6 linked regions of the Sus scrofa genome follow. The protein of the gene in region 2 interacts with the protein of the main gene of each other region in a biochemical or structural test. Links are inferred from orthologs where the notes say so. Each region holds a gene or a part of one and is shown on either strand. Other genes may lie near its edges.

What was found.
Region 1: of the proteins of CDK2 (region 2) and ID2, one has a biochemical effect on the other in vitro, tested with the Homo sapiens proteins (2 studies listed by BioGRID). The link is inferred for Sus scrofa from reciprocal best matches to the Homo sapiens genes CDK2 and ID2.
Region 3: of the proteins of CDK2 (region 2) and PPP2CA, one has a biochemical effect on the other in vitro, tested with the Homo sapiens proteins (2 studies listed by BioGRID). The link is inferred for Sus scrofa from reciprocal best matches to the Homo sapiens genes CDK2 and PPP2CA.
Region 4: of the proteins of CDK2 (region 2) and MAPT, one has a biochemical effect on the other in vitro, tested with the Homo sapiens proteins (2 studies listed by BioGRID). The link is inferred for Sus scrofa from reciprocal best matches to the Homo sapiens genes CDK2 and MAPT.
Region 5: of the proteins of CDK2 (region 2) and NPM1, one has a biochemical effect on the other in vitro, tested with the Homo sapiens proteins (2 studies listed by BioGRID). The link is inferred for Sus scrofa from reciprocal best matches to the Homo sapiens genes CDK2 and NPM1.
Region 6: the proteins of CDK2 (region 2) and SKP1 are reported together in a solved structure, tested with the Homo sapiens proteins (2 studies listed by BioGRID, with this or other methods). The link is inferred for Sus scrofa from reciprocal best matches to the Homo sapiens genes CDK2 and SKP1.

Annotation. Positions count from the first base shown.
Region 1 is NC_010445.4:127,500,053-127,504,622, reverse strand, and holds ID2 (DNA-binding protein inhibitor ID-2), read left to right. Parts: upstream 1-1,415; 5' UTR 1,416-1,512; coding exon 1,513-1,860; intron 1,861-2,238; coding exon 2,239-2,295; 3' UTR 2,296-2,302; intron 2,303-3,091; 3' UTR 3,092-3,864; downstream 3,865-4,570. UniProt on the Homo sapiens protein: Transcriptional regulator (lacking a basic DNA binding domain) which negatively regulates the basic helix-loop-helix (bHLH) transcription factors by forming heterodimers and inhibiting their DNA binding and transcriptional activity.
Region 2 is NC_010447.5:21,364,357-21,368,916, forward strand, and holds the start of CDK2 (cyclin-dependent kinase 2), read left to right. Parts: upstream 1-1,473; 5' UTR 1,474-1,611; coding exon 1,612-1,727; intron 1,728-2,443; coding exon 2,444-2,521; intron 2,522-2,632; coding exon 2,633-2,753; intron 2,754-3,996; coding exon 3,997-4,167; intron 4,168-4,560. Other genes in the region: melanocyte protein PMEL, read right to left, coding at 531-684. UniProt on the Homo sapiens protein: Serine/threonine-protein kinase involved in the control of the cell cycle; essential for meiosis, but dispensable for mitosis. Phosphorylates CABLES1, CTNNB1, CDK2AP2, ERCC6, NBN, USP37, p53/TP53, NPM1, CDK7, RB1, BRCA2, MYC, NPAT, EZH2.
Region 3 is NC_010444.4:136,519,476-136,524,285, reverse strand, and holds the start of PPP2CA (serine/threonine-protein phosphatase 2A catalytic subunit alpha isoform), read left to right. Parts: upstream 1-1,655; 5' UTR 1,656-1,833; coding exon 1,834-1,935; intron 1,936-4,810. UniProt on the Homo sapiens protein: Catalytic subunit of protein phosphatase 2A (PP2A), a serine/threonine phosphatase involved in the regulation of a wide variety of enzymes, signal transduction pathways, and cellular events.
Region 4 is NC_010454.4:17,208,236-17,212,855, forward strand, and holds the start of MAPT (microtubule-associated protein tau), read right to left. Parts: upstream 3,156-4,620; 5' UTR 3,006-3,155; intron 1-3,005. UniProt on the Homo sapiens protein: Promotes microtubule assembly and stability, and might be involved in the establishment and maintenance of neuronal polarity.
Region 5 is NC_010458.4:52,778,708-52,783,430, reverse strand, and holds the start of NPM1 (nucleophosmin), read left to right. Parts: upstream 1-1,568; 5' UTR 1,569-1,785; coding exon 1,786-1,843; intron 1,844-3,768; coding exon 3,769-3,848; intron 3,849-4,684; coding exon 4,685-4,723. UniProt on the Homo sapiens protein: Involved in diverse cellular processes such as ribosome biogenesis, centrosome duplication, protein chaperoning, histone assembly, cell proliferation, and regulation of tumor suppressors p53/TP53 and ARF.
Region 6 is NC_010444.4:136,473,210-136,477,980, reverse strand, and holds the start of SKP1 (S-phase kinase-associated protein 1), read left to right. Parts: upstream 1-1,616; 5' UTR 1,617-2,072; intron 2,073-4,771. UniProt on the Homo sapiens protein: Essential component of the SCF (SKP1-CUL1-F-box protein) ubiquitin ligase complex, which mediates the ubiquitination of proteins involved in cell cycle progression, signal transduction and transcription.

The DNA of each region.
Region 1 (4,570 bases), on a different chromosome or scaffold from region 2:
TTGAGACAAAACATAAGATACTTAGAGACATCATGTTGTCTCAGATTTTCTAGCTTATTGTATTCTAGAGAAATATGGTTTTCAACACACTAATTTATCATGGTCTTCAGTTAAGCTAGAATTAATGTGTGAATTAACTGAAAAGGATTTGAGCAAGTAACTCCAAGCTTTGTAGAAAATGTAGATGGCAGAATAAGTTCTTCAAGATTTAATAGGGGAAAAGAGGGAAGGAAACAACCTGAACCTGCCCCTAAGGCTAGTGCTGAAAAGAGTCCAAACTTGGTATATGACAGATTTAAAGAACAACAACAACAACAGCAACAAAACAACAACAACAATGTGAAGATATCCACCACTGGCTGGAGCCACCTACCTGTCACAAAGCTTTAAAAATACAGTAGGACTGGAATGTGACACCAGAAATCACGACTTGTGCATAATTAATCACCTTACTTTGCCACCTACACTGCAGAGGACAGACTGGCAGCCTCGGAAGGCAGTGTACGTAAATACAGCTTCCATACGCAAATTCTCCTAATGATTTCCGCTTCGTAGGATCATTATCATAGATAGCCCTTCCTCCTTCTAGAAAAGGAAGCCAGAAAGCGTCCTGCGCTCAGAGCTCCTCAGCGATCAGCACAGGTTCCAATAAGCACTCACTTCACCGAGTTTACAACAACGCCTCCTGCGTTGCTCCGAGTTGCACGATCCCACACTAAACCTGTCGTTGAATGCGCGCGTGGGTGATTTTGGTTTTGTTTTTTACAAAGCTTTTCCTTATCTTAAGAGACCCAACTCACACTACAGACGTCACTTGGCGACGGCAAACTTATGTGCGTTTTCACTTTCTTCAGAAATGCTTTCTATCTTGCTGACATTCCGTGGGGCGCAGGGGACCGTGGTGGCTTTCCCTCCGCTGCGCAGACCTGGCCTCGGTGGCTGTGGTTTTAGGGATGCTCAAAGCCCCGAGGTGTAGAAGGCTTCCTCGGGAGACACCTTAGGGAGAGAGTCCGGCCTCGCCGTTGGGATTAACAGGGGATTAAGATGCACATTGAGGTTCCTGGGGTCTCCCCCTCCCCCACCCTGTCCGCGACCCCCTCCTCTACCCCCACCCGCTTCTCTCCCCCCAGCCCTCCCCTTCCCCTGCGCTCCCCTCCGGCCCGGCGCTTACTGTACTCTATTTACCACCCCAGCTGGGCTCGCGCCGCGGGGATTGGCTGCGAACGCGGAAGGACCGAGCGCTCGCCCCGCGCCCGCGCCGGCCAATGGGGGTGCCCGCCCGGCCTGATGGACGCGCCGCCCTCCACCAATGGGGACGCAAGGCAGCCGGATCGTGTGGCCCCGGCGAGCGCTGATAAAAGCCGCCCGGCCGGGCTCCCTGCTTCGTTCTGAGCCGAGCCTGGTGCCGAGCGTAGGAAGCTCTGCAGGCGGCGGCGGCGGCGGCAGCGGCGGCGTCCTGAGCTCCGGGGCAGCCCGCTCCCTCCTCCCGGTCTCTTCTTTCCTGCGGTCAGCATGAAAGCCTTCAGTCCAGTGAGGTCCGTTAGGAAAAACAGCCTTTCGGACCACAGCCTGGGCATCTCCCGGAGCAAAACCCCGGTGGACGACCCGATGAGCCTGCTGTACAACATGAACGACTGCTACTCCAAGCTCAAGGAGCTGGTGCCCAGCATCCCTCAGAACAAGAAGGTGAGCAAGATGGAAATCCTGCAGCACGTCATCGACTACATCTTGGACCTGCAGATCGCCCTGGACTCGCACCCCACTATTGTCAGCCTGCACCACCAGCGACCCGGGCAGAGCCAGGCATCCAGGACGCCGCTGACCACCCTAAATACGGACATCAGCATCCTGTCCTTGCAGGTAAGACCTGCTCCTGGTGCCCCGCTCGCGGCCGCGCAGCCGGGCGATGCCTGGGCTGCCACTGGCCGACCCATTGTCGAGACCGCCGGCCGCAGTCGGTGACTCACAAATGAGCTAATTAACTTCATTGTTATTAGTTTTAGTTTTTTTTGTTTTTTTTTTTTGTTTTTTTTTACAAATCTGCTGTAGATTGAGTTATGCGGGAAATTGCTGATAGGTTAGTTCTGAGAGGTTAACGCATCAATCTTTGAGTCTGCAATTAGCGTAAACGTCTTTACTGGAACTTGCTGTTCTATGGGCTACTTGGAAAAAGAAAAAAAAAAGCTCTTTCTCCTGAAGTTGTCTAACGTCGAGCCTTTTATCCCCGTTCTCTCGTAGGCTTCTGAATTCCCTTCTGAGTTAATGTCAAGTGACAGCAAAGCGCTCTGTGGCTGAATAAATGGTGAGTGTTTGCTTGTGCCACCGGTCGGTGAACCGGCACTCGGGGTGTGTGCGCGCGCGCGCGCGTGTACTTGCGAATCTGTAAAATGTTGGGTTTGGTAGATGAATGTGTACTTGGTTGTATAACACGTAGTACATTGTTTACGTGTACTAGATGTGAAGAGGCATCTGGCTCCTGTTACTCAAATTCACGGAAGATTTTCCTTAAAAAAAAAAAAAAAAATGCCAGTAACTATGGAAGGTGGCAGAGGAAACTGTGTAACTGTGTCCCGGTTTTATGTGCCAGTATCATGCCTGGGCTGTTTTCTGCTCATGCTCTGGTACTACGAGGTACTAACCCCCGTGTAATTAATCTTATCACCGCAAATTCCATCGGGATCCTCCCTCCCTAAAACTCCAGCCCTCTGGGACCAGGCTAGCCAAGCATTGCTGCCCTGTGCCTCAGCCCCTGTGATGTGGGATTCCGACTTCCCAATCTGTTAACTAAAGGGCTGTTTTCAATCAAATAATTGTTACAAGAAGCAGACTGGCGCCTATGAGCCCTGCCGCTGGAGATCCAAATAGGAGATTGCATTGGGAAGTTTTTCGCCTGAGTCTCTGCTATTTTAATGTTTAATTTGCGCTGTCGAGGCCGAGTGTGTGTCTTGCATCTGTGGACGCCAGGGTTTGCCCAATGTTTGAGTGTTTGGTTAAATGTTCAAACTGCGGCTTCCTCCTGGCGCCAGTCTGCCCGCCTCTGCCCTTAGGTTAAAATCTCCTAAACAGTCCTTTCTCTCTCGATCTTTTGCAGGTGTTCATGACTCTTCCCCCCCCCACACCCACCCCCTTTGCACAACAACAGCAACAAATCCACAGGCTCTTTTAAGGCGCTGAACTTATTTTTCAACCATTTCCCAAGGAGGACAAGTCAAATGGACCTTTAAAAAAAAAAAAATGGAAGGAAAACTAAGAACGGTCGACTTGCCCAGTGTTCTCTGACCTGGACTGTGTACTAGTTATTTATGAAAAAGACTTTTAAATGCCCTTTCTGCAGTTGGAAGGTTTTCTTTATATACTATTCCCACCATGGGGAGCGAAAAACGTTAAAATCACAAGGAATTGCCCAATTTAAGCAGACTTTGCCTTTTTTCAAAGGTGGAGCGTGAATACCAGAAGGATCCAGTATTCAGTTACTTACATGAAGTCTTTCGGTCAGAAATTACCTTTTTGACGCAAGCCTACTGAATGCTGTGTATATATTTATATATAAATATATATATATATTGAGTGAAACCTCGTGAACTCTTTCCTTAGAGTTTCCTTGTACAGCGGCAGAGATGTCAATTTCTGCATCAAAGTGTAATGATGTACTTATTCATGCTAAACTTTTTATAAAAGTTTAGTTGTAAACTTAACCCTTTTATACAAAATAAATCAAGTGTGTTTATTGAATGGTGATTGCCTGCTTTATTTCAGAGGACCAGTGCTTTGATTTTTATCATGCTATGTTATAACTGAACCCAAATAAATACAAGTTCAAATTTATGTAGACTGTATAAGATTATAATAAAAACATGTCTGAAATCAACACCTGAATTCCGAATGATTTTTAAGATGTTCTCCTTCTCTGTCTCGCCATTTTATTTAACCCCTCACCCCTTTCGCTCTCCCCCCCCCCCCCAAGTCTTGGAACCTGTGTGCAGAGAAGCCCCTTATCAGATGTGTGGTCAGAAGGAGCACTTTGGGGCAAAGGGCTGCTGCTGCTTTTTGGGAGAGCTGATGGGCTGGAAAGTCTCTAAACCCAGAAGTTTCTCTCAGTCCCGCCTGTGTTTTGAGTGTTGAGTTGCCAACCAAGGAGTTGCTGTGGCGGTGGCTCCTGGGAGTGGGATCATTCAAATTACATGTGGGCTCTGGAAGGGCTACCTGGCTGCAGAGATGTTAAAACGCTTCTGGAGTAAAGGAAACTGCTGTTAACCAGAAGAGGAAGAGCTCCAGGGAATTCGGAACATGATTTTAAGATTTAGAGGCAGGGCAGAAAGCCCTCAGTGTTAGGGTCTGCTGCTGGTGACTGTTTGCCCTGGGACTTCAGGTGTCATCGGGCCCTGAGCTCACAGCCCTGGCTTCCCCTGTGTTTGCTCCACCTGCAGCACACCCAGCCTCGGGAGAAGGGCTGGGACCCCGCCGGCTTTCCAAGACGGGTGCCTGTGCAATCGCCCTTCGCCCTTGACTGTGCCGCTGGCCGGCCCAGGGAAGGACACTGGGAGTCACGGGGACAGTATCAGCGCGCTCT
Region 2 (4,560 bases):
CCACCCCCACCCCTCGCTCCTGTCACGAGGCCACAATCCCCCAGAGCCCTTTCATGTGATGCTCAGCTGAGACCCCTCTGCCTGACTTCCAGCCCCAGAACAAAAGCCTGTGTTTGCCCATGCCCATCCCAAAGAGGAAATGTGGTACCTCTTTACCCTCTATTCAATACCACATTCTCTTGTTCCTCGTTGGAAATACTCTATCTCAAGTGCCTGAGACATTGCCTAAAAGAGTCTCCCTCTCATTTTATCCCCTTGGATCCCCTGCTCCAGCTCACTGTCCACGGGTCTCAGAATTAGGGCCACAAAGACCCACTCTTCTCTTGCCCTTCCAAGCAGATGGGATTATTTTTAGGCTCAGTCCCAAATCTCCATGTGGAGAGAGAGTTCATGTGCCCATGTCCTCACTAAATCAAATGGGAGGGAGAAGTCTGAGGCATTGCTGGTATTTCCCATTAGGGAGGGGAAAAGCAGAGCAGGTGTGCAACCCCAAATTCACACTTGCTCATGTCTACACTCCCCATACTCACCTTCTGTGGCCCCCACAGCCAGAAAGGCACCCATCACAGCCACATGGAGAAGGCATTTTCTGAGCACCAGATCCATGGTATTCTTCCTTCCAGCAACCAAAGGCACTGGGGCAAAGGACAAGCCCCTATATAAGAAAGGGGTGCTCATTTGCATAGCCCTTCCCCCTTTCCCTCCAGAGGAGGCCTGGGAGGAGGAGGAGGACCTGAGAAAGGCAGAACTGGGGAGGGATCCTGGTCCCTGGACATCTTGCTACGCAGTGACAGTTTCTGGCTTCACAGGGTCACTCTCAACACTCCCCCGCCCAAAGAATTGACTGAAGGGCAGCAACATAGCATAACACGTACCCTACACACACAATCCATCATGGGAGAGTGGATCAATCTATTGTGAGTCAAACCAGAAACCTGTCAAAAAGACTGTAGAAACAGCAACCCTGCATCCAAAAACAGAGATTGTGTAGGATAGGCTGACAGAGGCAATGACTCCTCCGAGGTCCAGGAAACCCTTGCAAGGAGCTTCCCAGCTTCCTGCTTTTCAGAGAAGGTTCCCTGGGCTAGGTGGAATTTAATCTTAGATCAGTGCACATTTTCCTAAGGGTGGTGAAAACCCGGTTTAGATATTAGGAAATCCCTACAGACTCAAGGTACAGGTAGAAAACTCGAGCCCAAATCAAATACTAGGAACACGATATTTCACCTTCCCACCTAGGTTAAAACTTGACTTAATACACCTCAGAAACTTGCGCTGGGAAGGGTCGTTTGGGGCGTGGCGGAGCGCAGGACGGGCCCTTCCCACTCTGACGTTAACCAATAGGAAGATCTGGGGGCGGAGCCAGGGAAACGCGGGAAGGAGGGGCGGGGCTTCTGGTGGCGGTAGGGAACTGGCGGGGGGAGGCGGCAACATTGTTTCAAGTTGGACAAATTGACAAGAGCGAGAGATACGCTGCGTTCCATCCCGACCTGGGGCTGCCGTGCAGGGCCCTGTTTCCCCCTCCTCGGCCCCCGAGAGCTGGGTGCCGCTTTCTGCTGGGTTCCCAGGCCCCCGCTCCAGGGCCGGGCTGATTCGACTCGCTAGCGCTTCATGGAGAACTTCCAAAAAGTGGAAAAGATCGGAGAGGGCACGTACGGAGTTGTGTACAAAGCCAAAAACAAGGTGACGGGAGAAGTGGTGGCGCTTAAAAAAATCCGCCTGGACACGTGAGTGGCCTCTGTACCTGGGACTCCTCTAACTCCGGAGCTCCTTGAGTGCCCCCCACCCCCACCCCAACAGGCGGGTAGCCATCCAGGGACCGGAAGGTAGTAGGGAGGGACTTCTTTTGAAGTGGAGAGGTAGGTTGAAGGACAGTACAGGGTTTCCTTGTGGAGAATATAGGGTAGTGTAGAGTCCATGGGAAATTTCCTTTCCAAAGGCGGGTGATGCCCGAAAATGTACAGTCAGAAAGACTCGGGAAGAGGAAGGAGGCCTCTGATTTGGGGTCCAGGACTCCCCGTGGAGTTGGGTTTTGTAGAAAGCGGTAAAGAGCAACTTTTTGAATACGAACTTTCCTCGCTGTCTCAACCCCACCCTCATCTTAGAATTCTCTCCCCCTTTCAAAAGAATGGCAGTTGAAACTCACTGGCCCCTCTCGGAGGCTGGGTGCTGCTACTCCCCCCACCCCCACCTTTTTTCCCCCAGTTAACCTTCTTCACTTTCACCAAGAGGCTTTGCTAATCTACCCCTGGGAAAAGAAGAAATAATGACCTTAATGTGTCCAAAAGCCCTTCCTGTCCACCCATGAATTAATCCCTGACACCCCTTTTCTCTCATTTCCCTAGAGGATGCTGGGGTGGTGTCTCTGGTGGGGTCATGACTGGGCTGGGGAAAAAGGAATATTTGTAACCACATTCCCATCTGCTTTCCCAACTTCTCCAAGTGAGACGGAGGGTGTACCCAGTACTGCCATTCGAGAGATCTCTCTGCTTAAGGAGCTTAACCACCCTAATATTGTCAAGTAAGTATGCATCCGGGAGGTGCTCTGACAGTAAAGGAAGATGTGTTCTGTTTGTGTTATCTGGACATTTCTCTCCCTCACCTCTGTTCCTGGACATCCCCCCTTCCCTAGGTTGCTGGATGTCATTCACACAGAAAACAAACTCTACCTGGTTTTTGAGTTTCTGCACCAGGATCTCAAGAAATTCATGGATGCCTCTGCTCTCACTGGCATTCCTCTTCCCCTCATAAAGGTAATCCTTCTCATCAGTTCCTCCCCAACATGGGCATGTCTTGGGGGCACTTAAGACAGATAATTAAGACTGAGTGATGATTTGTGATCTTGGCTTCATTCCCAGCCGTCATCCCCCTATCATGCAAACACAATCACACATACCTTTTGTGTGTGTGTGTGTGTGTGGTGTGTGTGTGTGTGTGTGTATGGCTCTTTCACCGCTCATTATGCTTATTAACCCTAGGGCTGGGCAGAAGAATCAAAGTTGAAACTCTTGTGAGTCAATTTAGCAGCTCAGGTGGAAGGTGAGATGAAACTCAGATAAAAGGTGGAGTTCCCACCGTGGCTCAGTGGTTAACGAATCCAACTAGGAACCATGAGGTTTCGGGTTCGATCCCTGACCTTGCTCAGTGGGTTAAGGATCCGGCATTGCTGTGAGCTGTGGTGTAGGCCGCAGACGAGGTTTGGATCCCATGTTGCTGTGGCTCTGGCATAGGCCCATGGCTACAGCTCTGATTAGACCCCTAGCCTGGGAACCTCCATATGCCTTGGGAGCGGCCCTAGAAAAGGCAAAAAGACAAAACAAAAAACAAAAAACAACAAAACTCAGATAAATGGGACTGGAGAGCACTTGGTAAATTCTTTAAAAAAAAAAAAAAATTGGTGGGAGAAATAGCCAGTGAGTCTCTATTGTCTGTTTTGCTGGGTTCTTTACTCCTGGAGCTACTTTTAATCTATCAATAAACATTTATCCAACACATTTATTGAAGACCCTCAATGTGCTAGACACAGAATATGGAAAAGAGATGCAAAACTGAATAAGACAGGGAGTTCCCGTCATGGCTCAGCAGTTAATGAATCTGACTAGCATCCATGAGGATGCAGGTTCAATCCCTGGCCTCGTTCAGTGGGTTAAGGATCTGGCGTTGTCGTGAGCTATGGTGTAAGTCACAGATGTGGCTTGGATCCTGTGTTACTGTGCCTATGGCATAGGCTGGGAGCTACAGCTCCGATTTGACCCCCAGCCTGAGAACCTCCATATGCCGAGGGTGCAGCCCTAAAAAGCAACAAAACAAAACAAAAAACTGAATAAGACCTGATCCTTATCCTCACTGGGCTGATAGTCCAATGGGAGAAAGCATGTAAATGTTTAATTACAATCTAACATAATAAAGGCTTTAGTAGAAACTCTGGAGGCACAGAGCAGACCCTAATTTGCTCACTTTGGTGTAAAAACACAGTCCCTTCTCTCCCCTTGTCAGAGTTATCTGTTCCAGCTGCTTCAGGGGCTAGCTTTTTGCCATTCTCATCGGGTCTTGCACCGAGACCTTAAACCTCAGAATCTGCTTATCAACGCAGAAGGATCTATCAAGTTAGCAGACTTTGGACTGGCCAGAGCCTTTGGAGTCCCTGTTCGTACATACACCCATGAGGTGAGCTCCTCTCTGCATGTCTTCTCTGAATTTCTTGGGAGGTGAGGTGTTAACAGGGACATTCACAAAGTTACTAAAAATATCTGGCTAGCAGTTTCTCTATCACTAGATGGAAAGTTATCTCTGATGCCCCAAGAGGTCTTAGAGTATGCACAGACTTCATATTTTGATAGATACTAAGCTAGGAGAGCTGGATGGTACACCATTAAAATTATGACTGCTTGCCTCAAGTCTTCCAAGAAAGTTGTAAATTGAGGATTCAGAAAATTTGGGGTTCCAAGGACCATGGACTAGGCTACTCTAGGATAAGAGGCTGTCCCAGGAGTTCCCATCGTGGTGCAGCAGAAACAAATCCGACTAGGAACAATGAGGTTGCGGGTTTGATCCCTGGCC
Region 3 (4,810 bases), on a different chromosome or scaffold from region 2:
GAAAACTTCCATCTCTGAGATTCTGTGGACACTGTCATGGCTAAAAACCACAAGCAACATGTCTATGTGTTAAATATATCACTGTTTAGTCTGTTGCTGAAGGACTTCTGGTTTGTTTCCAATTTTTGGTATAACAAACATCACTGCTAGAAACATCCTTATACTTATCTCCTGAAGTCCATGTGCAAAACTTTCTCTAGGGAAAACAACAAGGAGAAGAAGAGCTGGGCATGGGTTGTGCCCATCTACACCTTAACTAGATAATGCCAGATTTTCCAAAGTGGTTGTCCCAAAGTACAGCAGTGTATAAGAGACCCCATTGCTCCACATCCTCACCAACATTGGATGTTGACAGTTTTTGCCAAATGGGTGAGAGTCAAACCTGGAATCTGTGGTTTTCATTTCCCTGCTTACTACCCTTGTGTTACTGGCCATTCATCTTCCTGCTTTTGTGAAGGGCTCTTCTGCCTGTCTATCCCCAGATCATCCCAGGAAGTACACAAGCTCCGTCAGGGTAGGGTACCTCTGTTTGTATGACCCTTCTGTCCTTCGGGCATGAATCTTGAACATAACTGGCGGTGTACGGAGCCAAATATTTCTGCGAATGCAAGGACAACGGAATGCGGATACATTTCACGAATCTCGAAGAGATTTATAGCCAGAGGTCCGATCCTAGGGTATCTGAGCTTTCTTTAAAGCGCACATCACAGCCGCTTCTAACACTACCGGGTCTCAATCAGGACCGGTGCGTCCATCTCCTTGCGGTCTTCCCTCTAGAAAGAAGGCCTGAGTGGGCAGACGGTTGGTGGGGGTGGGGTCGGGGGCGTTTTCTTCTTCCCTTGGAGGCTCGGAGTCGGAGGAAAGCGCCCACCTAGGGGGGAAGGCCACAATGGCAAGACTGCAGCGGCGCCTGTGGAAGCCAGGAGCGCTAGGAGGCCCCAGCCATGGCGCTAGAAGAGACATCGAGGCCCGGGGACAGGTGTGTTGGGGAGTCAGGTGCACTGCGCAGTACTGCAGGTACACCCTCTTCCGCCTACGACTGACCTAATTACAAGGTGCTGGCCGCACCCGGAGGCAGGGGTGGCTACTCCAACCTGGCTACCACTCGGCGCCTGTTCCTGCTCCCAAGATGCAGCAATTCCAGTGCTGTTGTAGAATGGAGGAGCCACGGGGCCCAATTCTCGTTTCCGTGCTTTGGCAGTCGCCAGGTGAGGAGCCGAGGCGTATCACCTCAGGGAAAAAGTCTCCGGCAACAAGGAGCCACCCTCGCACCCCGGCTGCGCCTGCGCCTGGTCCGCAACTACACCCTGCAGGATTTAGTGCTCTAAGATTAGCCCACTTCCCAGCTATAAGCAAGGCCCCTGCTTGGACTCGGTCTTCCCTTCCCCCTCGGCCCCTCCCTTCTACAGGACCGCGCCCTAAAAGCGAAGGTGCCTGTTTCCAGCCGGCTACTTTACGCGCCTGCGCCCTGGCCCCTAGTTCCCGCCCCCGCTCGGGTCTGGCCGCAGATGAGAGCCGGCCCGGCAGTTGCGCAGCTCGTATCCCGGCGCTTCTACCCCTCCTCACCCCGCCACCTCCTGACGCCGGGCGTGACGTCACCACGCCGGCGGCCGCCATTACAGAGCCGAGCTCCAAGGCTAGAGCGAGCGGAGGAGGTCAGTGGCCGGTAGCCGAACACCGAGGGGCGAGTCAACCGGGCAGCGCTACTGCCGAGCAGCCTTCAGCAGCCACACAAGTACCCCGGGGGCCGACGGCAGCGTGTGCGTGTGGCCCGTGTGCGGGCGGCGGCGCGGGAGTAGCGCGGAGCGGCAGCCGGTTCGGGCGGGTGGCATCATGGACGAGAAGGTGTTCACTAAGGAGCTGGACCAGTGGATCGAGCAGCTGAATGAGTGCAAGCAGCTGTCCGAGTCCCAGGTCAAGAGCCTCTGCGAGAAGGTGAGCTGCACTCCGGCTTCGGGAGCCGGGGCGGGCCGAGCCCGCCGAGAAGGAAGCGGCCGCGGGGAGGGTGCAACATGGCGGAGGCCAGCGGCCCCGGCCCCCGAGCCTCCCAGACCGGCCCCCGGCGCGGCCCGGCGGCGGCTCCCGGACGACCCGGCGCCCCCTGCCTCCCGCGCAGGGATTGGTTGTCGCTGCCACCGCCGCCTAAAATGGCGCCGTTCACCCGACTCCGGGGCTTCAGAGCTTCCCGGCCTTGGCTGGAAGCGAAGTGGCTGGGGGAGGGTGCGGGGGAGCGGAGACCCTGCGAGTAAGGGTCAGGGACGGTTTTGATATCTGGGCACGAGGTCTTAGGTTCTACGGCCTGGGAATGGGGCCTGGGACTCTTCTGTGAGTTTGGTGGGAGGTTTCTTACTTGTACTCAGGCCGAATGCTTAGGTCCAGAGCTGTCCAGAGGGTCCCCCAGAGGCAAGCTTGTAGGCCGGATCCCGGGACCTATCTAATAAAGGTCACGCAGATTTAGCATCGTCTTGAGTGGTTTATGGTAAACCTCTCGAGCTGTGTTTTCCAGAGACTTATTAGTACATTTTTTCGAGAATTTTTAAATGAGCTTTTAATCTAAGTTTCAATGAAGGTCATGGTGGTAGTTATAGGGAGGAGTATAACTTATTTTTCATAGTTGGAAGAATTAGACATTTTGGTGAGTCATTCTACATAGGAGCTTTGGGATTGGAAATCAAGTGTCAGTTTAATCTCTGATTTATATGCTGACTCAAATTGGATAGTATGAAACCCTTCTTTAAGCTTAAGGTTCTTGGCATTTTGCCATTTGTTTTTTAAATGAGCAGCATAAACTGTTAAGACCAGCAGATTTTGTATCCTTGCTCTCTGCTGGAAAAGTTGTTAGTATATTTGTGACTTTAAGTAGTAAGTATGATATTAACAGCTGTTGATCGAGCTTTTGCTGTATTCCAGTCATTGTGTTTAGTGTTTAAATCCCACAAACGTTTAAAATGGAATGTTGTAGTCTGTTTTAGAAGTCCATTTTAAATGACCTAATTCTGATTTGTTTTTCCCAAGGAGTTGGGGAAACAGGTAGCCTGTTTAAGTCTTATAATTCAGTTTTCTAAAGTAGAGAAAATGCTGATCTCCACCATGAATGTTTCAACTTCTCTTTTTAAAAATAACTCTGCAGCATCTTTAGTTCCACAGAATGGTGGAGTATCATCAACATTTTGTATTAGTGAAGAGAGTTATTAGAAAGCAATTACGCTGACTCGTTTGTGGTTTGATGTGAAAATTAGATTCGTAAATTTGACATATACGCTCCTAAAACAGGCTTTTTCAGAAACTCTTCTGTGAATTACTGCAATTTAAGTAAGTCTAATTCAGATTTGTTTATCCCAAGCCTCAACAAAACTTCTAGTTGATGAGGTGGCACATCATCTCTTGGAGCTGAATTTTAATACTGGCAATGTAGAGCCTTTTGTTGCTTCTTGATCCTTAATTCTTTTACATCAGATGAAAATGACATTTGTTTAAAGTTTTGGAAGTGGGCTTTTAAAAATTGTTTAATGTATAGTGTTAGGTCTTAGTTTTTGGATACTGTAAGTGATGATTTTAAAGATTTTTAGAGTTGAGTACTTAACTCTATATAAAGACTTTGAGTCAGCAGTTGGCTAGATGACTAGTTATTTGTGTAGCAAACATTGCAACAGAGTAATGATGTGGTTGGAAGACCACTGGACTGTGAGTTAGACCTGGACACTGGTCCTTTTTCTGCCACCAAGTAATTGTGACCTTGAGGCAATCACTTCACTTGGTCCACATTTTCTTGTCTATAGAGTTAAAACATGTTCCAGGGTTCCTTCTAATCATTTGAGATTATACAATTGCATTTTAAAATAGTACTCTGTATTTAAATATTGAACACTTATTGGATATCCAAGATTGCTTACTTTTATGAGAGGAGTGAAAAGCAATGAAAAATAATCATGCTTATTTTTAAGGATCTTGAATCTGGTTGGAAGTCTGTAGTAGATAGACCACAGAAGTAAAGGGTCTGTGTTGGAGACAGCAGAAGATATTGGAATTATGGTGGGGGGACTGAAGCTTGATCCCCTTGGTAAATATTGTTTGCTATGTCTCTGTAATATCAAGATGGAGTGAGATTAATCAGTTTATGTTTAAATCCCCATTGCTCATCCACTGTATAAAGATTTTAATTCTTGGAGCATATATATATATATATATATATCTTTGATGCTAGATTTTCAAGACATGGGTCCTTTTGGAGGTTGTCACATAGCCTTCATACTGTTTTTAATTTGTAAGTATTCCGTCTTTGGGAACTGTATTAACCTTCCAAAATAAATTAACTTGAAGGCAGTTTTTTAGGTATAGTAAGTCTTTCTAGTGAAACAAAAGTTCTCTTTTCACTATTAATATTTGTGTGGCCAATAGCACAACTGGCAAAACCTGTATATTTTGAAAATCTTGAGTGGAAAACCTTTTTTCATTAGTGTAATAATTAGCGTAATTATTTTTCTTTTTAAAGAAAAGATATTTGGTGGAGGTAGATATTTGGAAATAGTTGATAATTTCTTTGATTATAAGAAAGTATATTTATAGACCAGGGTGAATAGGGTTTTTATGTTATTAACTATGTAAGTTTTTTCCCCACAAGATGTGACTAAGGTCTGTATCAAAGCCAAGGTTGTTGTGTGTGCAGTATACCTTGTCATTTTTGGGGATCATAATTTGTTGATTGTTTAAAAATTTGTGATGAGTGAAGCAGTTTTGTCTGTAGGCACAGTTCTGTAGTCAGTGAGGTTAGTGCATCTGTGTATCTAGACTGGTATGTTTCTATCTCCTG
Region 4 (4,620 bases), on a different chromosome or scaffold from region 2:
AGCATGGAGTTACTGGTCCTCAGCACCAGAGCCTGGTGGAGTCTCTTGGTACTCGAAATAGCCCCCACCTGCTAGAGATTCGGGTGACCCTCGGATCAGCGCCAGAGAAACCCAGGGGCGGCGGCTGGCTCAGAGCTTCAGCGTTGGAGCTTGGGCACAAACGCGGCATCCCTCGAGATCCCAAGGAGAAAGCTGCTTAGTTAAAGCGCGCCCAGAGCCAGGGATGGGATTTCCTGATTGTCGTACGAAGGACCATCTCACGGCCCCCAGGATTCCTCCATTTAACAACCCCCACCCCCGGCCTTGCCGACCCGAGAGCCCCACCAAACCGCCAATACATTTCAAAATTGGGTAAAATAGCGGACGCCTATACTGCGCTTTGTTCCCAGCACTGGGCTAAACGCGCTTGCCATGATGCGCTCCTTCCCAACAACGGATAGGAGATGCTGTCTTCGCCTGCGGTCCATCCCAGGCAGCGGAGGCTGCGGGCTCCCTGTTCCCAGGTCTGCTAGCTCTGTCTAGACCCTAGCTCTGTCTAGAACCAGAATCTCTTGTCTAGCTCTATGGGGCGGGGGGAAGATGCTCGAATTGATCCTTGAACCTCTCTCCAACCTGCCCCTGCCGAGCCCAGCTCTGCAGGAAAGCTCGCTCCGATCCGATCCCAGGAAAGCTCGCTCCGATCCGATCCCGAAGCCAAGGGAAGGTTCGGCCTGGCCCCTGGGGGGCTCTCGACCCCGAGCCAAGTCATTCCCCGCATGTTTAGATCAATCTGCGCGGCTCGAGAGGATGGTGTGTTCCCTTAAATGCTCATGAATCTCAGAACTGCGCCCCCGCACCACTTTCCAGCGATAGAATTAACCAGAAAGCCGCCAGGACCCAGCTAATGGAAAGAGGGTGAGGCTCGGATTTGTTCGCCAGGATCTTACCCGCCTTCCTACTTCCCCCACCTCACTCCGCCTCCGGGTTTCAAGGTGGCGGCGAACTCGGGCTCTCAAATGAAAATCTCTCACGGTTCTAAAATAATATTCGACTATAATAATAAAAATACATGAAAGATGCCTTTCCTGGTGGTTGCGGCCGCAGGAGTCCAATTTGGAAGAGCCACGGGTTAAGGGGTGGGAGGTCCCCCTCCTGTGTTCTCCTGGAGCCAGAGGGGCAGGGCCTATCCCTAGGTTCTCTATCTCTGCTGGGCAGGGGCGGGGCAACGCCCCAAGGTCTGTCCCCAGGGTGCGGGTGGTCTCCATGACAACCTCCCCCTGCGACCCCCTCCCAGGCCTTTTGATAAAAGGGTGTGGCCCGCAGCACCTCATGCCCCCTCCTCACATTCTCCCGCCTGGTGAAGCAACAGGACGTGAAGCGAAGTGGGCAACCCCCACCCCTGCACCCCGCTTCTCCCACCGGGGGTCGCCGGCGCTCCCTGGCGAGGCGTCGCCCCCAGGACGCTCCAAGTATGGGGAGGGGCATCGTCCCTCTGTGGCCACCCGCAACTCGCGTCCATCCCTTCGGCCCTCAGGTGCTTCCTGGCGCGCAGCCCCGCTTTGGGAGAGGGGCTCGCGGGGTCACGCCCGTTCCCTGCGTGCCCTCGGGGCTGACTCGAGTTCCTCGACCCCAGCGAGCGCCAAGATCTAACAAAGGGCTCAGAAATGAGGGGCAAAAAGCGGGAGGAGGGGTGGGGGCCTCGATTAAACACCCTCATAGAATAAGAGCCAAAAACTAGGGCTGGCAAGGCAGATCACGTAAACCCTACAAACAAAGCACCGAGCCCCCAAGGAAAATCCTGGGTGAACTCCCCCAGTGCTCAAGCCCGCAGCAGCAAAATCCAAGATTTCAGCGCTAATTGCCCCCTCCCCGTCAATGACAGTCTTCGCCCTGTCCTCCGAAGCCGAGCCGCTCGGCTTGGCACGGTACTATAAAGACATGACACGCCGCAAAAAGATGGCACCTCGCGTTCGGAGGGGAAAAAAGCAAGGGTGGAAGTGGGAGGAGGCTCGGCCTACCCACCCCCTCCTCGCCCACCCGGGTCCACACCCACTGCCGCAGTGAGGGGCGAGCCCTGCGCGCCAGCCGGGCGCCTCCGGCAGGGAGCGCACACGCCGGTCCGCCAGCGCAGAGCGCAGAGCGCAGAGAAAGGGGCCCGCCCCGAAATGCACCTGCAGCCCCCGCGCGCGTCTGTGCGGGGCTGCGGCTGTGCGCGCCCTCGAGCTGGGATCCGCGGCTGCCGAGCCCTTCCACATCGCAAGGCCAGGTGACCCCTGCCGTTCCGCACCTCCACATTGAGATCCGCGCACTACCTTCTCTCGGGCGCGGCGCTGCTCGAGTCTGGGTGCCAGGCGCGCGCAGGGGGAAGGGCAACTAAAGTGACAGCACCGGGACCCCTCCCCATCTCCCTGATTCCACTCCCAGCCCCCAAATGTCCCCTGCGGGTTTCTGAAGGAGGAAAACGGGGAAGGGGTGGGCCACCGCCTTAAACCTGGGACAGCGAAAGCCCCATTGGAATAGCTGCCGGGGAGGTGTAGGGAGGGGCAGGCAGGGAGTCATCTTTCCTAGAACCCGATCAATACCTTCCTTAGAGCTGATGGCAAACCGAGGCAGAGAAATCAGATTAGAGGTTCGGTTTGGGGGGTCGTCATTGAACACCCCCCACACCCACAAAGTCACACTCCTATTACTGCAAAAGGCTGTATTCGAGAATGCATTGCAGCCCCCTCCCCCAGGTCACCGCCATCCGCGCCCCACCCTGTGGGCAAAACCTCTGTCCGGGTCCGCTCGCAACGGGTCGTGCAGACCCCCTCAGGACACACACACGCACACCCATGCATCCCTTGCACGGGTCCCTTTCCAAGTCGCCCTAATCCCGAGCCCCAACGCAGAAGGGGCAAGGAGGGGCCCCGGCGGTTGCCCCCGACCAAAATTCACCTCAGGAAACCCATCTCTGGGGCGAGGGGCGGCGGCATGGGAGTGCAGGAGGGCAGAGGGGGAGGCAGATTTCGGAGCCTCGCACTTACCTGATAGTCGACAGAGGGCGAGGACACCAGAGGAAAACAGTCAAGTGGCTGTGGTGGCGGCGACAGAAGGTGGGCGGCGGCGACGGCGGCGCTGCTGCTGGTGCCTGAGCTGGTGGGTGGCGGAGACTGCGAGCGCGCGCACCGCCAAGAGGGCGCGCTCCCGAGGCCGGCGGGCGGCGCAGGCGCGAGCGGCGGGAGCGCGAGCCTCCCCAGGGGAGGGGCGGGGCCCTGAGGCCTCCGCAGGCGTATTCTCCTCCGGCCACCAGTGGGCGCGCGTGAGCGCCCTACCAATCGACCCTTCCCCGCCTCCCGGCTCTCTCCTCTCGGCACTTCCCTTCCCGGGTCTCCCTTCCTCCCATGCCTTGTGCTGCGGAGCTGACAGCCACGCGCACGCGCGCTTCTTGGCGCAAGCGCACATTGGGTCTCCTCTCACGGCTGGAGTCTTTGTTTTGTCTTAGGGGTCTCCTCCCTAGGAAGCGAGGCTTGGTTGCCCTCTGGGTTAAAGGAGACGCTGGGTGCTCCGCCGCCTCCAGATCCGCAGCCCCTTTTTTTGCTCCGGAGTGATGTCCTGTCTCAGAAAGGTCCTGGGCAGTTTTTCACGTGGCCGGCTCTCCAGACAGTACACGCAGGTCCTCAAAAACTTCCCCCAGGCTTGCCCACTGGCACCCTGACCCTCTCCTGAATTTCCCCTTGTTGGAGATCAGTTTCCTCGTGTCTGTTTCCCTTCAACCTGCTTTTGTTCCACCTTTTTTGTTATTGATCAAGGTGAATTCTTTCCTTAGTAAATCTACTTAAACCTGGCTAACCTGATTATAATTAGGCAGTGCACATTTGGGTGTTTTTTGGGGGGGGGAGTGTTTTAACAAGGAGCATTCAAATCTAACTGTAACCCAAGAATAAAATCTTAAATTAGATCAAGTTTCAAATGGCACTTACCACATTACAGAGCATTTTCACATATACAGTTATTTTTATCTTCTTTGTGAAACATCCTTATTACTGTAAATAGAGCTTGAGATTTGAATTTCCAGGTGCTGGCGGGAGATTCTCACCTGGATAACATGCCTCAGACTGAAAGTGGCCAGAGGCTTTCATTCTCTCAGTCAGCCAGCATCTAGGCTTTGTCCTTAACTTGTTCTGCCCAACATCTAATTTAAACCCTGGCAGTGGGAGTTTAAGTTTAGAAGGGCTTAGGGACAGCCATCTTGTCATAGGAGGGTGGGAATTTGTCTTAAAGCTTTAATTTACATAGCTGTTATATTCTTCTTCTTTTTTTTTTTTAGGTCCGCACACTTGGCATATGGAAGTTCCCAGGCTAGGGGTTGAGTGGGAGCTATAGCTGCTGGCCTACACCACAGCTTGCAGCAATGCTGGATCCTTACTCCACTGAGCAAGGCCAGGGATCAAACCCAAATCCTCATAGGATACTAGTCTGGTTCTTAACCTGCTGAGCCACAATGGGAACTCCCTGCATAGCTCTGATATTCTTTTTTTTTTTTAAAGCAATATTGTATGCTGTAGATTAATACAAAAAGCAAGTAATTGATGATTTTCTTTATTCACATGGATTTAGTATATTTTTCTTACTATTTTTTTAATGGCCTGCAGCATATGG
Region 5 (4,723 bases), on a different chromosome or scaffold from region 2:
TTTTCTTGCAGGGGCCCAAAGAACATTAACCCCTTCTCCACTCCCCTGTAGCTCTTTCTCTCTCTCATTCTAACACCTCTAAATCCGCCTCAGGCACAGTCCTCTCCTCCCTTTTATCAGCCTTTCTCAGTTCCTTTACGGATGTTCTCCGCTACATCTTTTCTCCCCAACAAGTGGCAATCCGTAGTAACTTTCCAAGACTCGGTTTTTTTCTCTAGTAATTGGTCACACTCTGCATTTTAAAAGATGCTAGAACCAAGCTGGTAAAGACTTTTTTCAGTTGGGAGCAGGGAAAAGCGGAGAACAGCTTAGTCCATTCACAAATAAGCATTGATTTCTCCACATTTTGAATTTTGATTCTGTTAATTATTGGTTCATGCGTATCACAGTTTATCTTCCCAAGTAGCCTATGTTTGGAGAAAAGGCGGTAGGGGATTGCTGTCACTATTTTTATTCTTTACAGTACTTTAATTTTTTAAATTTGTGTAAAAACCATAATTGTGGGGATCTTCAGCACCCCTGCCCGAGGAGCTGCGGTTGGGGGAAGGGTGGTCCTCAGTTTGACAGCGTACTTTAAGATACTCATTTCCAGGCTCGCTTCCAGAGTCTAAGTTTGTGTATTTCTTAAACGTCAAATGCCTTCTTTTCAGGCCAGAACAACCTTAGTGATGTTAAAGATTAAGAACTGCACAACCTCAGACACTGGACCCCCGTGTAATCCCCCGAGCTTTTAGACAGGTGTTAGTATTAGACTTGGAGCTAGAGAACCCTGTTTCTGTAACCACTCCGTCTGGGCACCTTACTTCCTCGTGGCGCGTCTCCCTGTCCGCAAAATGGGGATAGTCACATCTGCCTCTTACCTGTTACGTGGGGACATACGGTGGATACACAACCCTTTTAAAACTTTCTCTTTGGAGAAATCACCCAGGCTTGGTTCCTGCCCTGCTCATATGAAAGAGACCGATTTAGAACCCCCTGTTGGCCTCCCAGTGACGTAATGTCGAAGAATTTTAAATTCGGAGATGTTTCCTCAGAAAGGACAGGGGGTTAAAAACAGAACCGATTAAGTCTGGCCAGCAGCTACATCTTTTCTCCCCAACAAGTGGCAATCCGTAGTCCACTGTCTCTGGCACCTTAAGCTTTAACTTTGGGGAAACAATGAACTCTGGGCTCAGGCCTTCAGGCGAGCCAAAAAACTGGAAGTGGTTATGCCTGTTTGCAGGCCTGCGAGGCATGAGGAGATGGCGAAAGGAGAAATGAGCTGCTCTCTGGTTCACTTACAACCAGCTCGCCCTTCGTACCTAACCCAGCTAAGAGTTGCTGCCGCCATTTTGCAGGGTGGGCTGCGCAGGCTCTTGGCGCAAGGCCCGCGCTCCTGAGCGGGAGAGGACGTGGAAGGTTTGGAGGGTGGGGGAACGCGCGCTACGAGGGGGAAGTACGCGTGCGCACAGGCGGTGGCGGCGAAGTGGGTGGGACCAGGGTACGAATGCGCGTGCTCGGTGGGAGCCCGCGAAGTACCTGGAGGAGGTGGGGGGCGAGGTAGCAAGGAGTGATGTTGAAGAGCGCTTGCGCAGGAGAGAGACTGTGCGGGGAGGGGGGCTTCCGAGCACGCGCGCGGAGGCGGGACTTGAAGAGCTCTCGCGAGATCGTCAGGGTGCTATATATGTGCGCAGGGAGCCCGCGTCCTTTCCCTGGTGTGATTCCGTCCTGCGCGGCTGTTCTCCGCAACACTAGTGGATTATCTCCGTCCGCCTTCTCTCCCACCCAAGTGCGTGCCACCAACCCATGGAAGATTCGATGGATATGGACATGAGCCCCCTGAGGCCTCAGAACTATCTTTTCGGTAAGTACTGGCGTGTTGGGCCAAGGCCGAGCGCGGCCTGGTGGCTTTGGAGTGGGTGGTGGAAATCACACTGAGGCCTGGGCAGGTGGAGAAAGCTAAGCAGGCTGGAGGCCTGCGGGAGTGGGAAGCGAGCTGCTGGGGTCCTGAAGCTTAAGGATGGGGACCTGGGAGGGCGAGCCGGCACCACGGAGTGACTGGGAAGTAAGGGCGGCCTGAAGCGTGAGCGGTCCGAGGCCCAGGGCCTGAGTTAATGTGGAACCCACCGGTTTAGGGTTGGGCGTTAGCTGGGGCACGTGGTAGAGCTCCGGGCATAATTTTTTCCTGGGGTTGCGTGAGTTGGTAGGCTTCTGATTCCAGACTAGTGCCTGATGCTGGACTCCAGGTTGGTGGTGCAAGAGATTGTGGGGGATCAGGGTGTGAGACGTGGGCTTCCTATCTGGACGGAGAGGACAAATGGAGCCTGGCGTTGTCCTACAGGCCTAAAGGGTCAGGAGGTCTAGGGCCCAGACTCGGCCCGGGTTCTTCGGCCGGTTACAGGGGGATGGGAGCCGCGGCCCGGCGTGGGGAGGCCGCTACCGCTGGGAGCACGTGGTTGCCACGTGGTTGGGGGAAGGAGGGGTGTGGGCGCTACATCCGGGGTTCACTGGTGTCTTGTCACTCCGAGCCTGGGGTCCTGGGGCTTAATTGAGGATGGTGGACGGGAAATTTTAGGTGAAGTGGTTCGTAGCGCCAGTACTCTTGAGGTCTTTGTTAAGTGGTTAACATCAGTGCTGGTAGTTCTAGAGTTCTTTTTCTATCTCTCCGCGCTCTTTGCAGATGACTTACTGATACTCGGAAAACTGAAGGTTGCACTTAATAGTTCCAACCCCACAACGCTTGCTTCCAGAGCTGGTGCTTTACAAATGATTTGGGAGGTGGGCAGCAGAGGCAGCCTTCTGTTAAACTTGTAGTTCTATTACCAAGGTTTTGTTGCTCACCTCAATCACACAGTGCCATCCTAGGAGACTTGGGTTGGTTTTTCAACTTCACTAAACTTAATTGTTAAAGCCATTTTTTTTCGGTTAGGTTTTGAAGAAGTGCAAATGCCTTCAAGTTCATTTTGTTATATATCGTGCTGAGATATGTTAATTGAGCAGGAACATTTATACATCTCTTGCAGTAAATAAGTAGATGGCAATTAAATGGTATTATTTAAATTAAAATTTAGTTCTGACTATTAAAATCAGTTTGCCTATTCATGAGTGGTAATGGTAACATGCGCTATACATTAAGGGTTTTATTCTTAGCCGGTTTGAAAAGCTGGAGTTTCTGATCAGTTTATATCAAAAACGTTTGTGTTTACCCTCGGAAATATCCCTGGGATATTTCTAGTTTTGCCTTAGATATAATTTCTGAACAGAGTTTATATATATCACTTGTTAGTTCAGAGATGGATTGTGGACCCGTGTAACAACCTTTAGTTCTCCTACTTTGTAGTCTTTCTGTGTTGTAAATACAAGCTGTCGATGTATGTGTTTGTGTAACCACTGTCATTTCTAAATTGGCACTCCTCCTGGGAGTTGGGGTAGGTAATTCAACTTTTTAAAATAGTGGGGTTTTTATCAACATATGTTAGGTTTGGTTTAAGTTCCAGCTTTTACTAAATCTTTGATACTGTTTCCACCTAAGAAGAGTGTAGTTGAGCATAAAATAGTATGATGGAAAGGAGGAATTTATAAAACTATGAAAGTTATTTGCTCTATATGGATGTTATTTGATGTTTATAGACTTGTGTGTTCAAGAAGGCCTGTAAGAGGTACTTCTGCCTTGCTTTTTGGTAGCTAGAATAGAATAGTAAAATCAAGTAACTTTTGGTTACCCACAGTGACGTTTCATTCAGTGTTATTTTTCTCCTTGTTATAGTAGGGTTGTTTCCTCATTTACAGGTTGTGAACTAAAGGCCGATAAAGATTACCACTTTAAGGTGGATAATGATGAAAATGAGCACCAGTTATCTTTAAGAACGGTACGTAAAACTTTTCAAGACAAAGTACTCTCGATTTCAGACACCGCTTAATTTGTGTGGCTTAACATTAGAAAAGTATTTCTATAGTTGTTGTATATGCTTGGTTTTCCACGTGTGTTATAGAAAACCTGCCGTCTTTACCACTCATTTGATATTTTGAACAGTCCAATCACACTGTTCAGCTTTCCTTATTTTCACTGTTACTGTTTCTCTATTTGCTTTTTAGGGCCGCCCCTATGGCATATGAAAGTTCCTAGGCTAAGGGTCAAATTGGAGCTGCAGCTGCCGGCCTACACTGCAGCAACACAGGATCCGAGCTGCCTGTGCAAATCTGCACTGAAGCTCCTGGCAACATGGGGTCCTTAACCCACTAAGGGAGGCTGGGGATCAAACCCGCATCCTGATGGATACACATTGGGTTGGTAATCCAATGAGCCACAATGGGAACTCCCCAGCTTTCCTTATTGTGTCATCTACTTTTCTTGAGTTGTATTAAAAACTCTTTAGGGTAGTGACAAATATACATCTTGTTCCCCAGAGACTAGGCTATAGCCTACTACTTAAATTGTAGGTGGCCGGTAAATGTTAGGCGATTCATACTGTGAGTTAACAGTGGTGATGGCATAAGTATGTGTCATCAAATGCATTTTAGTGTATTTGTTCAAAGTTACTGAGTATGAGACTAGGGTCACATAAAACTTGAAGACAACTTTGAGCTCGTCAGTTTTCCATCAGTGGTAATAATGGAAGATGAATAATTATTCTGTATTTTAAAAAACTCATGGGGGGGCATTGTAAAATAGTGACAGTTTGAAGTACTGTTTTTCTATTCACAGGTCAGTTTAGGGGCTGGCGCAAAGGATGAGTTGCACATT
Region 6 (4,771 bases), on a different chromosome or scaffold from region 2:
TATCCATGAGGATGCCCGTTTGATCCCTGGTCTCACTCAGTGGGTTAAGGATTCAGCACTGCAGCAAGTTGCAGCATAGGTTGCAGACGCAGCTCTGATCCAATACTTCTGTGGCTGTGCCGAAGGCCTCAGCTGTATCTCATATTCAACCCCTAGCCTGGGAACTTCCATATGCTGCAGGTGTAGCCATTAAAAGAAAAAGCAGCCAAAAAAAGCCACCCAAGAATATCTCGGTGATTCTAATATTAGGGGCCCCCAGACATTTTGGAAAAAACATACACCTTCCTAATGCCAGGCCCTGTGCCAGATCCTCCAGCTAGACGTGTAATCTGGCACTGCCCAGTCCTGCTTAGGATGCTCAACTAGGCTACAAGGTGGCCCTTATATGCCACAGGCAGGGGAGCAAAGGGGATCTAGTGGGCCTTAACTAAGAGACCAGAAGCTGGAGCTGCTTAGGGCAGGGCAGGCTTGTGGAGAAAAAGTCTGAGAGCTGTAGGTCCTTTCATCTTCCCGACATCAGCTGTGGCACCTGGCAGACACTGGATACCACAGCTTGGAGACAAAGACCTGGTAACCCAAGGAGCTGCTTGGTCTCCCTGCCCAGTCCCATCTCAGAAGAGCTGCAGGCTTCTGATTTCTTTAGGGGGCCCTGTGTGGAAGTGTCCTTTGTCTCCTTGGCGTCAGGAATACCATCACGTGCCTGCTGGTTAGGTGAGCCTGGCGCCTTAGTCTCCTCCAGAGGGGTGGCATTGTTCTCTAAACAGAGCAGGGTAGAGCAGGTCAAAGTCCCTGACTGGAGAGGGTGGGAGTGGGAATTTGCAGACTAACCCCTTTCCCTTGAGGGTTGGTTTCATCTTAGGGACCCTAACACAGCCTTTAGGGAGCATCCCACACAAGGGCTCTCTGCAGGCTGGACTCTGGCTGCCTCGTTCGCTGCCGAATTCCTAGCACCCATCACCTCGCCCTCCCCCCACCCAATACACTTTTGCTAACTTGGGGTTTCCCTGAAACAGTGGTTACTTTGGATTGGAGGCCTCTTCAGAAGTCGATAGGAAATCAGAGTTGAGAGTATCAAACAATCCTTGCTCTGCCACTGAACCGTTTTGAACCTGTTCCCTCACAAGTCAAAGAGAAAAGGGTAATGGTATTTCTTCTTCTTTTTTTTTTTTTGTCTTTTTGTCTTTCTAGGGCCGCACCCAAGGCATACGGAGGTTCCCTGGCTAGGGGTCGAATCGGAGCTGTAGCCACCGGCCTACACCAGAGCCACAACGTGGGATCCGAGTCGCGACTGTGACCTACACCACAGCTCATGGCCACTCCAAATCCTTAACCCACTGAGCGAGGCCAGGGATCGAACCCGAAACCTCATGGTTTCTAGTCGGATTCGTTAACCACTGAGCCACGAGGGGAACTCCTGATATTTCTTCTTATGCATTATTGTGGAGAGTGAGCTAACTCATGTAGGGTTCAGGGGAGGACACTGAGGCCCTGAGCAAAATCTCACAGCGCTGGCTGCAAAGATCAGCGCCCTTTCTTTCTCAGAGTCCCAGTTTCCCCATCATGAAAAGGAGCTGCAGCCCCTCCCAAACACCACCCCTAACACAGACGCCTCTCCCTCCCCACTCCGCCCCTCTCTCCCCGCTACTCCCCGCGCTCTCCCTCCCGGCCCCTCGCTCCAGGTTTCTAGGCTTTTCGGGACTGGGGTCTTTAATTCGACTTAGGCCAGCTCCCGCCTGAAAGACCCTTGCAGGCCGTGGAGTATCTGAGCCAGTCCCCCGTTTCCGCTTTGAGGGGAGTGAGCGCCGCTTTCGAGGGAAGGGGTGAGACTCAAGGCCCGCCGCGCCTCGCCCCGCCGGTCTGCGCCTGCCGTCAGGCGATCTCGGCGGCCAGCCCTGCCGTCTCTGTGACGTCACGGGCCCCGGGGTCCTCGGCGCCTGCGCCCGCTGCTATAAAGGCGACGCCGCGCCACTCGGTTGAAGTCGCCTTGTGCGTCGCTTTTCTGTCTCTCCGGTTGCGGACACCGCCCTTCTCTCGTCAGCCTCCGGCCCGCCATCTCCTTGAGCCCAAACACCGTGAGTACCCGCCGCCTGAGCTGAAAGGGGGCGGTGGCGCCGCAGATTGCGAGCCGCGGGCCGCCCCGCTGCGGCTTTGGCCTTGCTCGAAACGGCAGGCACCTGGGCCTGGCCTTCCCTCAGGCCCGGTGAAAGCCGTCGTCGACCCCATTCTCCCGGAGGTGCCATTCACCTCCCACACCGCCCCTCGACTTGCCGAGGCCTCTTTTAGCCGCTAGTCTTCACCGCGCCCAGGCGGGCGGGAGGGAGAAGGTGTGAGCGGAACCGGGATTGGGCCTTCTCTGCGCGGGGCGACCCTCAGCCGTCGCGGAGCAAGGCTGCAGGCCCAGGCTGCGGCCGGGGCCTCCCTCGGCGGTTGAGCCCATCGGCCCCGGGAAGCCAGGGCGAGGGTGGTGGCGGGGCTTTTAATGGACTTCTCTGGGTCGTCGTGAGCATGGGCGTTTGTCCGTTTGTTGTTCGGGTGTCCCAGAGGAAGCGTGGTAGGGTCGTCCCGCAGCTGGATTCTTGGCTCTCAGTCTTTCTCGCCCCTGTGTCTGGCGTCACTCGTCCTGGTTAACTGCGCCGGAGCCGAATTTCGGCAGAGAGCTGCCTGCTCCTTCGGAATATTTGTCGCCCATTATTTTGCCACAGCCCGCGGTTGTTGAAGCAATTGTTGGAGTAGCAGGTGCCATCGCCACAGTGGTTTGGCTTTTAGGTGCACCAACTCCGTAAACTTACTAAGAGGTTTTCGAAGGGATAGGATGTTCACCTGCTTTGGTTTGCTTTTTAATGGAGACTAAAGGTTGGAGTTTGGGCTCATGAATGTTTTCATGAGAGCGTCACAGCAGAATGTTTGTGTGTCATAGAGCAACGCAGATTTCACTTTGCCCTATAAGAAGAAGTGTCAGAACTTCGGGTCACTTAAACAGGTTTTTTTTCTTTTATGATGTTTGATAGACCCCTCCTCCTGGAGGGTGATTTAACTCAAAAGTGCCGGCGCATACGGAATTGAAGGAATGGTCTGGAGAACATACCACATCAAAGTTTCATGGATAATTATAGAAAAGTTTTGCTCTGATTTCCAGCTGTATAACGCTAAAAAAAATTTTTTTTTGAGTATTAAGTTTAGCTTACAAAGTGCATCGAATTACAGATTAACCGATTGTTTCCCTGCTATTTATTTAGTAAGATCTCAGTTAAGAGTAACCTAATACACGAATTTGACTGTGACTAAGCAGATATGGCTGTTTATCAAAAGTTATTTGAAATATGAAATGTTCGTCTTGCTTAAAAGTAATTTTATCAACTGCATTTCCAGACTTGTGATTTTATAACGTTCACTCCAGTGTTGTGGAACAGTCATAGAGCATAGAATGTTTTGTAATTTAAAATTGAGCTCATGTTAAAGTATTTCTTTAGGGGGATATCTTTTGCTTTTGCCTTGTCGCAAGGAAGGTCCTCTGCTCTGGGCGTTTCTTCATGGAGCAGGACAACTGCATTATTGGCAGGCACTGAGTAATATGGAGAAGCAGACATTTGTGAACTGAAAAGTGAAATCTGATTCTCTGCAACCATGGATGAGTGTGAGCTGGATATTTCAATGGCTGGTTTTAAAACAGCTTTACCTTTTTGCTTCCTTGCCCTAACACCTTTGTCTCTTTGGGGAATGGAGACAGTTGTGTGGGAAAAGCTGAATATTGTAACCGATTTAACGGGTCCTAAGTGTTGGGGCCTAAAATAGGTGCAGTCAGTGTTTTGAATGCCAAATTCTGTATTTTTAAGTTAGAGTGATATCAGAGTATTATTACGAACATCTCAGATGCACGGGCCTTTTAAAAACCTGTTACAGAAACTTAAAGAGATCTTGAGTTTTTACAGTCAGGTGTTGCTGCCGCCCACCCCCCATGCCTCTCCCCCAAGAATCTGAAGACGGTAAGAAATTGCTGGCTTAGAAGCTTAGAACTTTTAATTCTAAAGAGGTTTTGTTTTGTTTTTGCCAAAACTCAAGTCCTTTGAAGTTAAATGCTTAATTAACTTTTATGTAAGAAGTGTCTTTTTCCTAATGACTCATAATCAGTGTGAGTTAATAAATTCATTTTGGCGGCAAGTAAAAGGCTGTTATTACTATGAGGATTTTGGCATTCGATCTCAAACTTGGGACGCCTAGACAGTCAGTAAAGAAAGATAAACAGGACTCTGAAACTATAGGTTTAGGGCATTAGGTCAACATCTGCTTATCCTTAGATATTTCATTCTCTTCTCTATGGCCTTGCTTTCATCCAAACATAAGTAAGTATATTCTAATCTACTCTTTAGATCTGAACTCACTTTTTACTGATAAGTTTCACTGTGGGAAAATTAATATCTTATTTGGTAGCTTTGTTTATTTTGGACTGACCTCCCTCAGGTGAAAGGAGAAAGGCAGGCAAAGAGTAAAAAAGCATTTTAGATATATTTTGCATTAGAAATATAAGTGTGAGTTTTAAAATTTATACCAGTAATGAGTGCAGAAGGGTAGGCCTTAAAAGTTTCTGTTCCTAGGAGTTATATATACTTTTGAAAAAATTTTATAGAAATACTTGTATAAAATTGCCTTATAATCATTTACAGTGTTTTATACTATACTACAGGTCGTTAAGATTTTGTAGTTAATAAGTTAGAAGGCTTAGACATTTAATGGTGAAATGCAGTGTAGAAGTAATATCTCTTAAATTTCAAAT